Tribolium castaneum: one gene and its partners. The protein of the gene in region 2 interacts with the protein of the main gene of each other region in a biochemical or structural test. Links are inferred from orthologs where the notes say so. Each region holds a gene or a part of one and is shown on either strand. Other genes may lie near its edges. The genes, in order: Cdk9, TfIIFalpha and TfIIB.

The links.
Region 1: the proteins of TfIIFalpha (region 2) and Cdk9 form a complex in vitro, tested with the Homo sapiens proteins (2 studies listed by BioGRID, with this or other methods). The link is inferred for Tribolium castaneum from reciprocal best matches to the Homo sapiens genes GTF2F1 and CDK9.
Region 3: the proteins of TfIIFalpha (region 2) and TfIIB form a complex in vitro, tested with the Homo sapiens proteins (3 studies listed by BioGRID and IntAct). The link is inferred for Tribolium castaneum from reciprocal best matches to the Homo sapiens genes GTF2F1 and GTF2B.

Annotation. Positions count from the first base shown.
Region 1 is NC_087394.1:32,585,611-32,589,516, reverse strand, and holds Cdk9 (cyclin-dependent kinase 9), read right to left. Parts: upstream 2,534-3,906; 5' UTR 2,308-2,533; coding exon 2,201-2,307; intron 2,131-2,200; coding exon 2,046-2,130; intron 1,999-2,045; coding exon 1,622-1,998; intron 1,565-1,621; coding exon 1,297-1,564; intron 1,098-1,296; coding exon 804-1,097; 3' UTR 626-803; downstream 1-625. UniProt on the Homo sapiens protein: Protein kinase involved in the regulation of transcription.
Region 2 is NC_087400.1:9,147,154-9,151,402, reverse strand, and holds the start of TfIIFalpha (general transcription factor IIF subunit 1), read right to left. Parts: upstream 2,815-4,249; 5' UTR 2,685-2,814; coding exon 2,661-2,684; intron 2,606-2,660; coding exon 2,415-2,605; intron 1-2,414. UniProt on the Homo sapiens protein: TFIIF is a general transcription initiation factor that binds to RNA polymerase II and helps to recruit it to the initiation complex in collaboration with TFIIB. It promotes transcription elongation.
Region 3 is NC_087398.1:13,751,947-13,756,190, forward strand, and holds the start of TfIIB (transcription initiation factor IIB), read left to right. Parts: upstream 1-1,434; 5' UTR 1,435-1,566; coding exon 1,567-1,583; intron 1,584-1,656; coding exon 1,657-1,767; intron 1,768-1,822; coding exon 1,823-1,956; intron 1,957-4,001; coding exon 4,002-4,244. UniProt on the Homo sapiens protein: General transcription factor that plays a role in transcription initiation by RNA polymerase II (Pol II). Involved in the pre-initiation complex (PIC) formation and Pol II recruitment at promoter DNA.

The DNA of each region.
Region 1 (3,906 bases), on a different chromosome or scaffold from region 2:
AGAATGTCTTAGATAAATTCAATTTAATGTTAAGTTAATTAAGTGAAGGAGGGGTTAAATTTAACCGCGCCCGAAAATGTAAATATGCCATGATTGATTAATTTCTCGTTTGTTAAGTTTGACGTCCTCCGCAATGTTTTACAATTAAATGTGATTTAATGTGTAATTTGTTGGGCATTCTGTGATATTTGCCTTCAAAATTTTACGGTTTCGTAATCAGTATTCTGAAAGGTCATTGTTATGAGTGGTTCATTTTATTTACCAGTTCTTTTTGCCAAAACTTTCGGTAAGCTCAACTAAATTAGCAACAGAGTTACAATGTTATTGCGTTAATTTAGAACAATTTGAAATGGGTAGGAAACTACATCTAATTAAATGAAGAGAAGACAATGATTATTGAAGTGCCTTGAATGAAGGTTTCTCCTTCAAGAATGTTATTTACCTATGTAGAGGATCTATGAAACAAGCTAACAGATATGTACAGATACATATATATTATTTTACAGATACATGTACAGTGTGCCATGTTGTTGAATTGTAAGGCCGGATGGCAGTGCAGTCAAACCAATAAAATATATAATATGTACTAACAAGTCATTTCATTCCACCCCAAAAAAACACCAAGCGTTTTTACACAGTTTATTCGCTATGTTAACTAAGTAACATCATATTAAACGTTACAAAAAGATAATAAAAAGTAACATCAAATTTTAGGGTTCCCGAAAAACCTTCAGTTATGTTTCCACTTTAGAAACAATTTCCACATTACTTGAAAATAACCACAATGTCCGTGTTTCTTACAACTAAAAAACCCTATCTTGGTATCCGCTGTCTTGCACAGCGGAAGTTGTCGGTCTTGGCAACGAATGATGCCTCATTTGTGTCGGTCTTCTCGGCGGAGCCAAATATTCAAACATGCTTTGAGTGTGAGTGGCTAACATTTTGCTCAAATCGCATGGCATTGGGTCAGTCCAGAAAAAGTCATGGTTGAGGGCCGTATCAGCATCGGCCCGTTTGGCGGGGTCGAGGACCAACAGCTTATCGAGTAAATCACAAGCGTACGGGTCTTTCATGTAGTGCTTCAGCCTCTCTTTCACCTGGAGAAGATTAAAAAATAATAATAATAAAAATAAAATCTGTGATCTTGTTTAATCACATTTTTTCCGAATTTATATGTAAATAATTACGGTTTATAAACTACAGTTCAGAACGTGGTGGAAACATTACCTCGTACAGAGGATTAAATAAATATTCTAGGCTTATAATTGAAGCGATCTTTGTTCCTACGGGACTTACTTTTCGCTTTTGGACGGGGAGTTCCATCTTCTTGTACAACTCCAGATTCTCAACTCCTGGCCAGACCTGGGGGCAGATGGTGCCACAAAGTTGAGAAATCAGAGTGAGCTGTTGTTGCTCGCTGTTGCCCTGCATTATGGGGGACCTTGTCCACATTTCGGCCATAATACAGCCAGCCCCCCACAAATCAACTGGGGGGCCGTAGTTTCTTTCACCTAACAACAGTTCTGGAGGCCTATACCATAACGTAACGACACGATTTGTAAATCTGAAATAGTAGATTACAAACTAGTGACCAATTTTTTAATTTACTGTTTGAACTCACCTATTTGGCAGTCCATTCTTATTGGTACTAAATGCACGAGCTAGGCCAAAATCGGCCAATTTTAAAACACCATTCTTTGTAATTAACACATTGGCGGCTTTCATATCTCTATGAAGAATTTTGTTGCTGTGTATGTAATACAGACCGTTAAATAATTGTTGCACTACTTTTTTTATCTCTCCTAGACTAAACTTAACGTGGACGTTTGACAACAACCCGGCCAAGTCGTGTTCACAAAAATCGAACACTAAATAAAACGTTGACTTGTATCTGTTGCGGTATGCAGCCTTAGTTTGGCATATTTCTATAAGATTAACAACGTTTTCGTGTTTCAATAGTTGCAAAATTCGTATTTCGCGCAAAGCTGTGATTGGAAACTAGAATACAAGTTTGAAAGCTTTGCAAAAAATTAATGACCCCTTACGCCCTCTTTTTCATTGTCCATTAACACTTTTTTCATTGCTACGAATTTCTTAGGATTACTTTTGTCCCTCGCCTTGAACACTTCACTACAATCGGAGAAATACAACAAATGGGGCACAATATGTGACCCCAAGTAACCCCAACTAAGTCACTTACCCGAACGTTCCTTGGCCAATTTTCGCAATTTTCTCGTATTTTTCCGATTCATCACAGAACGGGAAATGGAAATTTTCAATGTATTTCTCTTTATCTCGCATATTCATGATTGCAAAATCGCCTCTTGTCTAACGTTGCACAAGCTTTAGACAAGGCAATATTTAGCACAGTTTTTCGTCAATTAAGAAGAAACGTGTGAAGGTTTAAAACACCACATTTAAAGTACTTAAATGCATTTCCGCTGCTTTTTTCTGAATCACAATTGCACTAAAAACACACACAATCAAAACATAACCTCCAGGAATGACATATGACAATAGACAATGTCACGGAAAAAAAGCGCGGTTGGGTGAGCCTGCTCGCGAATGGTTTTCAGCTCGAAAAATACAGTATTTTATCGAAATTAAAAAAAAATCTACCAAATTGTAACACCAATTGATAACTTTTAGCATTTTGGCACTGCTACCAAAATGTTCTAACTACAAACGCAGTAAACCAACAAATTTATTTATATAATTATTTATTTAAAGAAAATAGGAAATGATAATATCATTATCATTCGTAAAAATTAAGACTTTAGTAATCAATATTAACACTTTTGCGTTCTTAATCATATTTTTTGTTGTGCCTTTTGTTGATTTAAGAAGATTACAGTTTTCTGTTTACGAATAGTACTTAATTTCATTTTGTGAAGAGGTCGCTGATATTCCATGGTCTTGAAGTGTCTTGATGGTACTCTGGGTTCGGAAAAAAGGGAAAAAAGGTACCATGACGTTGTGTTTTGTGTTTGAAACACTATTTTAAGTAAGAGCTTTTCAGATTTTTGAGAACTCTCCGCCGTTATATTCAAGTGTCGTCGAATTGTGAAAATTAATATTTTTCCTTGTCCTTCCTGTTTTCATCTTATTTCCTTCGTTTCCTTCTTTGGAAGAAGCATCTTCGCGTGTAATTTCATCGCAGGAGCAAAAGGTAAGAAGGAATTCCTAAATTAACTTTTTTGAAGACAAGCTAATTTTGGTCTGTGTATTCATTTTTGATACAAAGTGATCCAGAATCAATGTTTCAGTTGGTAGCAGGTTTTGAAGGAGTTGCAACCCTGTAACCGCCAATCGGACAAAAATTGGCTTGACTAATAATATGTTTAAAATGCCTAACAAGACTGTTAAATTGTTGTTAACTGGAAGGGCACCTCAACGGTACTACTTAAAAATAAATAGAATTTCTAACTGATATAAATCTTAAAGAAAGAGAATAATATTGTTTCTCTCCGAAGGATCGATTTATAATTCAATATGAAGGTTTTAATGGTTGAATAATTAATCAGGGAGCTTGCAATTAGCGATCATTCATATTTTGTGCTTATTGGTTTATAATTATTTATCAGTTGATATTATTCTTGAGTTTAATTTTTTTCTGAAAGCTTCTTGTGAGACAGAAACTTGAAGTAAGCTGCCACTTGAATTATACCAAATAAAACATTTCATTTTTCTTAAAATAACTACGTATCCAAATCCTCCTTGCGGCGTGCTGGGGGAATGAAAACCAACAGCTTAATGTTAAACATTTTATTTCTTTGTCTGAATGTGTCAAATACAGTGATATAATATTGTTAGATTAAATCCACATCCACATTTATAGTTAAGTAAAAAATATTACATACGAAACAATAACCGAAAATATTATGTTTAAAATGAATCGTAATAATT
Region 2 (4,249 bases):
TCAATCTTACATGGACACCAATAAAGATGTTTAATACAGTGGAGCGTAAGTCACTATTACATTTTGAAAATGTTTCGTTTTAATTCAGTGGAAATTAAAATTAAAAACTAATTAAAAATATTTTAATCATTTTCTCTGAGAAATACGCTTGAATAACTGTGATTCTTTCTAAATTCTCGAAAACTGATTCCGTTTTGCGGTTAAAATATCTTTGAATTTCGAAAAAGATCTTTCTACATCACAACTGGTTACAGGAGTAAATAAAAAGTTTGGTGCTAATGCAAAATATGTCGAAGGTGGTACATTATTCGCTATTTGTTTTAAAACTAGAAAATCGGGATTTCTAGTAACAACTGCGTCAATTTTTGCATTAAATTTATCTTGTAATGACCATTCTACAGATTTTAACTCTATCAACGTAGACTCAAATTTCTCAACTGTAATGGATAATTTAAAATTTTACGTTTCTAGAAATTTGATCGTAGTTGGAATATTTCAAAAATTATTTTCAATAAAATTAAGTTGAGAAACTAAATTTGTGGTTAAAACTAAAGTTTTACATTATTTAATGCTTTGTGCATCGTCGTTTAAAGCAATAAACAAATGATTTTAATTGATTAAAATTTTTAGAAATTTGCTTCTAACCAAGTACCACAGCGTGTAACTACAATTGTTGATTCGTCAGAAACGTTACGATTTGTATATTTTTTTAAAAAGGACTTTAAAGAAGGATTATTTAGTTATCTACAAAATGTGCTCGAGGTGAAATCGCAGCGTATTTCCCTTTGAAACGTGGTGTGGTTGAAAACATTTCAAGGGCTAAAAATGGTAAATAATTAAAAAAATATTAATGTCACACCAAAGAATACTTTGAAATGAATTACAATTTTACAATTTAGTTTTACTGGGTCACTTATATGCTTTTTAAATAAGTACATGAGATAAAAATGTTCTTTTGACTTTTTAGATATTATTAAAATTAACTGAGAGTTAGGGCGGTTAAAAGTAAAGGTATAATATTAATAGATAAGTGACATTAATTATTTTTTAATTATTTACGAATTACGATTTTTAGCTCTCGAAATGTTGTCAAAGGCGATGAACACGCTTCAGAGGGAAATACGCTTCGGTTTCACCTCAGGCGCATTTTGCAGTAATTTTAAATTGCAATAACTTGGTGAGTCTTACAGATAACGAAATGATTCTTGCACCAAAAATTGATTTCAAGTATTAGCTTTATTTCGTCTCGATTATGTGGGAGTCTATCTTTTAAATTAAAAAACTTTCTCGCATCTCGAAAATTTCACTACACAATTATGCAACGTTACAAGAAAATGTATTTTTTTTTTGGTTTCCCTTTATCAAAACTCTACCTTGTTAAACTACGTATAAATCTGCATTTATTGAAAATTTGTTTGCAAAAAAACGGAGTTTCTAGCTTTATCCAGAAGGAAGATGTGAGTATGTAAACGCAAAATGTGTCCAAGTTTAGGTGTTTGCAAATTTTTAGCTAAAACGTCTTTTCAGCCCCTTCGCGAGGGTTGAAACAAAAAATTCTTTGTCTAAACATTTTTTAATACTCTTTCCTAACTTATATCAACAATGTAAGCTGTTCCACAACATTTCGATTTAAAGGTTTATCTGACTGCAAGCGCGCGCCCATGCACTAACCTTCGCCCATAAAATTTCCTCACACTGGTTATTACAGCTAAACTAATGATTAAAAAAAACGTTAATAACATTATTAAATTCTCTGTAAAAAATGTTTAAAAATCAATAAATCATAAATACTTGTTGGGCAATATATTTTTCACAGTTTCAATTGAAAATCCAAAATTTTTTCATAGCCTACTATAAAGAAAAAGCGGAATGTTATATTTTTTTAAATATTTAAAAATAATGTGTTACACAAATAGATATATCAAATCAGAGAAAAATAGTATTTTCAAAAATATCACAGCCGCCTATGATTCCTATTTAAAAAAATAAAACTTTATGTTATTGCAGCTAAACTAAAAGTTAAAATAAACTGCTGATAACATTAAATTCTCTGTAAAAAAGTGTCAGTATAATATCTTTGTTTCAAATGTGTATCTTTTATAATAACGAAGATATGAATTTTTTTAAGATTTTGCTAAAATGACAACTTTTGTGTATTAGTTTTTTGTTTGTTTCATTTGAAAACTAATTAGGTTAAACGTAGATAAATAAATTAAAAAAATAATAAAAACAATACTAATTTTCGGACAATGGGTTTATCGAAGGCGACCATGAATTTGACGTATCTTTGACATTTGTTAATCTTGACATGACATGACATCTTGACGTTTGTTAATAAATTTTAGATACTTTTTATTATGCAATTTGTTGGGCTGTTATCAGTGATCATTTAAGTGCGTTATGTTATGTATTACTTTGGTTGTTCTTCTTCGACGCTTTTGTACTCTTTCAAATTATTCTCCCTTTCCATTTTGACCTGCGTCCACTTGGCAAAATCCACTTCAAGATTTCCATTAAATCTCATTACATGGTATCGCTTCTGGACGTTTTTCGGTACTTTGATTGTATACTCCTTAACACCGGCTGGGGCCTGTGATTGCTTCTGCTTGAACAGAATAAAATTAATTTGTGAAAACTTAAAACTGTTATTTTATACGTACAGAGGCGGCTGAACTTGTCGCCATTTTAACCAAATTACAATTAATTGCAAAATTTATTAGTTAAATTAAACTCAAATTAAAAAATAGACCTATTTAGAAAACAGCTGTCAAACAAGTTCGTTTAGAGGTTAGGTCACCATGTCGGTAACACAGGTGCCATACTTAGGGCAGATACTTTCTAACGTGACAAAAACCGTGGAGTCAGTTGTATTTTTTTTATTGTTTTCTAATTTTTATTAACAAACAGAAACATTTATTACAATATAAAATTCCATAAAAACCGGGAAGCTTTTAATTTAAAAAAAAATGTACAACTAACTTTAATTCCAAAAAAAATCGACAGAAATTCTAGTAATTTCAAAAAATCAACCAAAAACTTCGAAATATCAATAATTTGTATAAACTCCAAATTAATTCCTGTAATTTTCATAATTCCCTAGTGGGTAATTCCTGAAATTACAAATAGTCCTAAGGAATTCAAATAATCTCGAATAATTCCAAAAAACTCCAGTCATTCACAAATTATTCCAAAAGTCCGCAAATAATTCCAGCAATTTCATAAATTCCAAAAATAATTTTAATAATACAAAATACTTCCAAAAACTTTAAAGCAATTCGGATGAAATTGATAATCCGATATTGCTCTATTATTTTATAAAAAATATCCACAGGAAATACATGATGAAATGTAGGTATGACTAAGATCGTAAACATTTTAAGGTTTTGTGTAAAATAATAATCCCAAAACTCAAACTGATTAGATATTTTCTATATTTAATAATTTTTGTCAATTTCCTTTTTATTACTTCACTAAATAAGTAGGTATTAGCTGTTTCAAAACTGTAAAAACACCAACGTCGCATTTTACCGAATAATTTTTTTTAATAAGGTTGATAAAATTGTAAAATAATAATTAATCATCGAAATAATTGTTAATCATCGAAAATATAAATTACATTAGCTATTATTTTTTTGAAGTGCATGAAAATTTTATTAGAGCTACACTTATTACTCTTATTAACATCTCATAGATCTATCTCTTACAGTTTTTGAAATAATCGCAAAAAAACAGAATTCTAACTCAATAGTTTCATTTTTAGTCGAAAAAACTTCCAAACATACAATAAAATTGTGCCATTGATTAAAAGAAAAGTTAGATTTGTTCACCATTTTTACTCAAGAAGTTCAAAATTCGATGGCAGACTGACTGCGTTACTTGTGGCACTTTTTTTATTCTTTCATATCATTTAATTGTCTGTCACATGATTATTTTGCATTTTCGTTACTTTCTTCTTAAAAATTAGAAATTGCAGAGTTAATTACGAACTTTTTGTCACATTTACATCAAAAACTGTTTTCTGAGACGGAATTTAACCCTGTTTCTATGTTTTCGTATCTACATATTCATCTTGGATTTAACATTAATGATATTTTTTCAAAATAAATTAAACACTGAACCCAACTTTTTTTACTAAAATTCCTCCGAATGACTTTTGTGCCAACGTTAAAACTATTTTTTTCTACAGCCGTCAAAAAATCGTGACATTTATGCATGGTTACCTATGCGCGAAGTTTGACGTTTTTTCACT
Region 3 (4,244 bases), on a different chromosome or scaffold from region 2:
AAAGATCTCTTGACGATTTAGAAAATCACGAAACAAACTCTAAGGACCGGTTTACAGAAAGAAGTGTCATTAGTTTAATTCGCAATTAACTGCGTGATTAACGTGACCATATTGAACAAATGTGATTGGTCCATTCGCGTTATTATAACATTTAAATACGAAATAAATTTTAACAAAGCTTTGTATCTATAAATCAATATTAATATTGTATTTTTCAGTAATTAATAATTACAATATCTACTGAGAGCAAAAGTATAAAACCAAGCCAAAACTATATACCTTACTAAAAATACGACCAATTAGTATAAAGATGGGATGTTTTATTTGTAGCCTCCCATAAAAAGGAGATTTTTTTTACTTTTTAATATAATCTCCTTGTAGTTATTAGCACTTATAGTCAATTGATGTTTCGAAATCTTTATACTATCCTTGTGGACCGATTCTTGTAACTCTTCAAAAAAACTTTTTTTAGCTGTAATTTCTTCAAACTTTGTTTTATACTTATTTCCAGTGTAATATTTTTTAAGTCCAGTAATAGACTGAAGCTAAATTGTTATACATTGGCGCATAAAATCCATTGGATTGCGTTAAAATAGCTCCAAGCATTGAAAATATCTGATTTTTTTCGGTGAGCTTTTGTGCTCAAAGAAGGAGCAATATGCCACCCATTTTGCCAATTTTTTCTCATACTTAAAAACTGATAAAAGATATGATGTTTGTGTTTTAAAATCCTCAAGGTTTGAACTATTTTATACAACTTTCATTTGTAATCTTCCAATACCGTTCTTTGGATTTTTCTGACTATTTCTGCAGGAGAAGCACTTTTCAACTTTTTTCGACGTGGTGTTTCCTAAGGCCTGTACCTGTATGGCTCAATTGAAACTTTGCAATACAGTTTTAACTATGCTAATGTAGAACCTAACACATTTTAAAAATATTTCTTTACAGTTCGAAACTCAGGTTTCACCATTTCTTAAAAAATCGAAAACTTAGGGCAGCCAATACAGAATTTGATACAAGCTTAGTCACTCTTCGAAAGGATAAAACTACATAAAAATATAATAATTAATGAAAAAAAGTCAACTGCTTTCTATAAGAGACCGCGAATTAGTCATCACATTCTAATCTATAATTTCATTCTAAAATAAATTATTAAATTTGCGTTCCGAGCTCATTACGAAGGTTTTTTGAGCTTGGTCGAAGTAGTTGAAAAAAAATATTGCCAAAACTTCAACTTAAAAATCTAACTCGAGAAGAACTGTATGTTGTGAAAAAATACACAAACAATGTTTTGTCAGTTGGATGTGACTGTCTTACCCAAGAGATGGTTCCGATTTCCCGAACGTTTTAAATCAGCTTATATTGCTTTGAAATTGGCGCCAGTTTATTACTTTTGAGGTCGCTACTGTACGTTCTTAACAGAAATCTGCTTTACCAATAAACTGGAAGTCGAATGACTGAAACCTGTTTTATCGGTACAGTGTCGATTAACTATCACACTTGTCAAAACTTGAAAATTGTCATAATAACAATAAATAGAGAAGAAATAGTGCAAAATTGTACAAGATGGCGAGTAGTTCAAGGTATTTTAGCATAAATAACTTGTTACGATTCCAATTTCAATAATAATGATGTTAACCTCAAATAATATTTCAGGTATGACACGAATAAGGTTTGTTGTAATTCTCATCCAGATGCCCCCCTTATTGAAGATTACAGAGCAGGCGATCAGATTTGCTCCGAATGCGGTTTAGTAGTAGGTGACAGGTAATATTCAAATCAATAAAACGCATCATAAGTTTATTTGCTTGCATCATTGTAGAGTAATAGACGTTGGATCTGAATGGAGAACCTTCAGCAACGAAAAATCGGGGGTCGATCCTTCTCGTGTTGGTGGCCCCGAGAACCCCCTTCTTAACGGCTCAGACCTGACCACAATGATAGGCCCCGGTCGAGGTTTGTTTTATTTAAATATTCCACTCAAATAAGCCTTTAAATTAAAATGTTAGTGAAAAGCTTACCTTTTTGAAATAAGTTACTGTCTGTGCTACTGTGAAGTATTTCAAAACGTTTTGTTTGAATCACGAGAAGGTATTGAAAAAACGAATAAACGAATAAAATGTTTCGTAATGATTGTAAAAAATCGATGACTTGGAAAAAAGTTTTTAATAAGAATTGTAAAGCATAAAATTCTATATATTAATATTCTGCCGAATTTTTTGACATTATTCAAATAAACAGAGTTTAGGGTGGTTGCAATAAATATAAAGGGATGATCTGTACAATTTTAAAAAGTGACTATAAACATTTGATTATTTTGCAAAATTTTCTGCTGCGTTGTAATCCGAAGGTCGTTTTTGTATTGGAAATTGTTTTCATTATGAAAAAGACGTTTTAGCGAAAAAATTACACAAACCTAAAACTGGACAAATCTTGAGTTTACAACCTCGTGTCTTCCTTTTTGATAAAGCTAGAATTTTTTTTCACAAAATTTTCAATTAATGTGGATGTTTACGTAGTTACTTAGTTGAATATTTATAAAGGGAACCCGAAAAAAATACATTTTCTTGTAACGTTGCATATTTGTGTATCGAAATTTTTGAGATGCAAGAAAGTTTTTTTGTTGTATAAGACAAACCTCTATTGAATAGAAATGGAATGAAGCTATTCCAGTAATATTTAGACAACTCTTGATTATTAACTGGCAATATTGCTGACCAGGATACTTGCCTCTTGTGATCGGTTTGAAGTTTAAAAAAATTGGGAAAATTTTGATTTTTAACTGTTAAAATTAAACAAGCCCCCTCTAATAACCCGAACGGTATTTATTGTACCTACAATCCGAACGTTTGAATTTCGTAATCCGAAATACCACATGTTGATTTTAATTCTTGATAGTTGTTTGCAATACATTTTAATTTTGTATTTTTTTATTTTGAAACACTTAACGGTGTTTATAGCCACTGAGTATAATTTTTGTGGTAGGGATATGTATTTGCATGGTTATTTGGTTATGTAAGGTAACTGTAAACCGAACGCGTGTTGGGATTATTGATATTATTTGCAATCTGCAAATTTTCTGTTCGAATTATTCAAACATTACTGTACTTCATATCAGCTTTTGGTCACGAATCATTTCGATATCTGTAATAGTTTTTGAAATATTGGGAAAAATCCACTAATAGAGGGAGCACCCTTTTCAGAGTGTGTAGGGTAGGTTTCTTACGAAGTACTTATCAATACATGTTTATAGGAAACGTTTGTCTTAAAATTGAATGTTCTATCATCTGTTTAAATTCGTAACAATAAAAACGGAACACTCTGTATAAATGTTGCTCTTATTTCTTACGATGGGAAACACATCCAATAATTTTTAATTTCTACTGGCTAATTTTGTCATTGTTAAAGTCTTTCAATAAAGTAAAACCTGTGTGAATAACTTTTAAAGTTATTTGCATGCACAAGATTTTTTTACCCCATATGTGTAAACAAAAAGTAAATTAATTAGAAGTTGTAACATATTACCTTGTTGTTCGTTTTCGTGGTTTCAAAAGATTCACCTTTAACTTCAAAGATAATTGTTGGAATTAGTGCACTTTAAATTAACAGAATTGTATAATGATTGCTCAACGAAAAAAATGTGAGGTCTTTTCTGTGTCCCGTCCGTCATCAATTTGTGTTTCTTTTTCCTGTCCATATTTGAATTTTTACAAATGTGGCTCCTATGTAGGTTGCAAACCGTTTAACTGGTACTAAGTTCCTATAAATAAAAATTCACTTTTACTGATACTGTTCATAAAAACTGAAAATGAAATAGAAACCATGTGAAGTGTCCCGTCCGTTAAAATGGAATGGCTGCTAAAACATACTTTGTTTTTGATTTTCAAAACGTTTTTAACTTATATGTATAGAAAGATGCAAGCTTTTTCCCAAAATTTTGATTTATTTATTTTGACTGGACAACAAAACTTATCACAGTTTGTCTTTTAATTTTTTTCCAGGGGACGCCTCCTTTGATAGTTTCGGTGTCGCGCGCTACCAGAACCGTAAAACCATGAGCAGTTCCGACCGCGCTTTGATCAACGCTTTTCGTGAAATCAACGGAATGGCGGATCGCATTAATCTTCCAAGGACTATAGTAGACCGTGCTAATAACTTGTTCAAACAAGTGCATGATGGACGTAACTTGAAAGGACGCTCTAACGACGCCATAGCGTCGGCGTGTCTTTACATAGCTTGTCGGC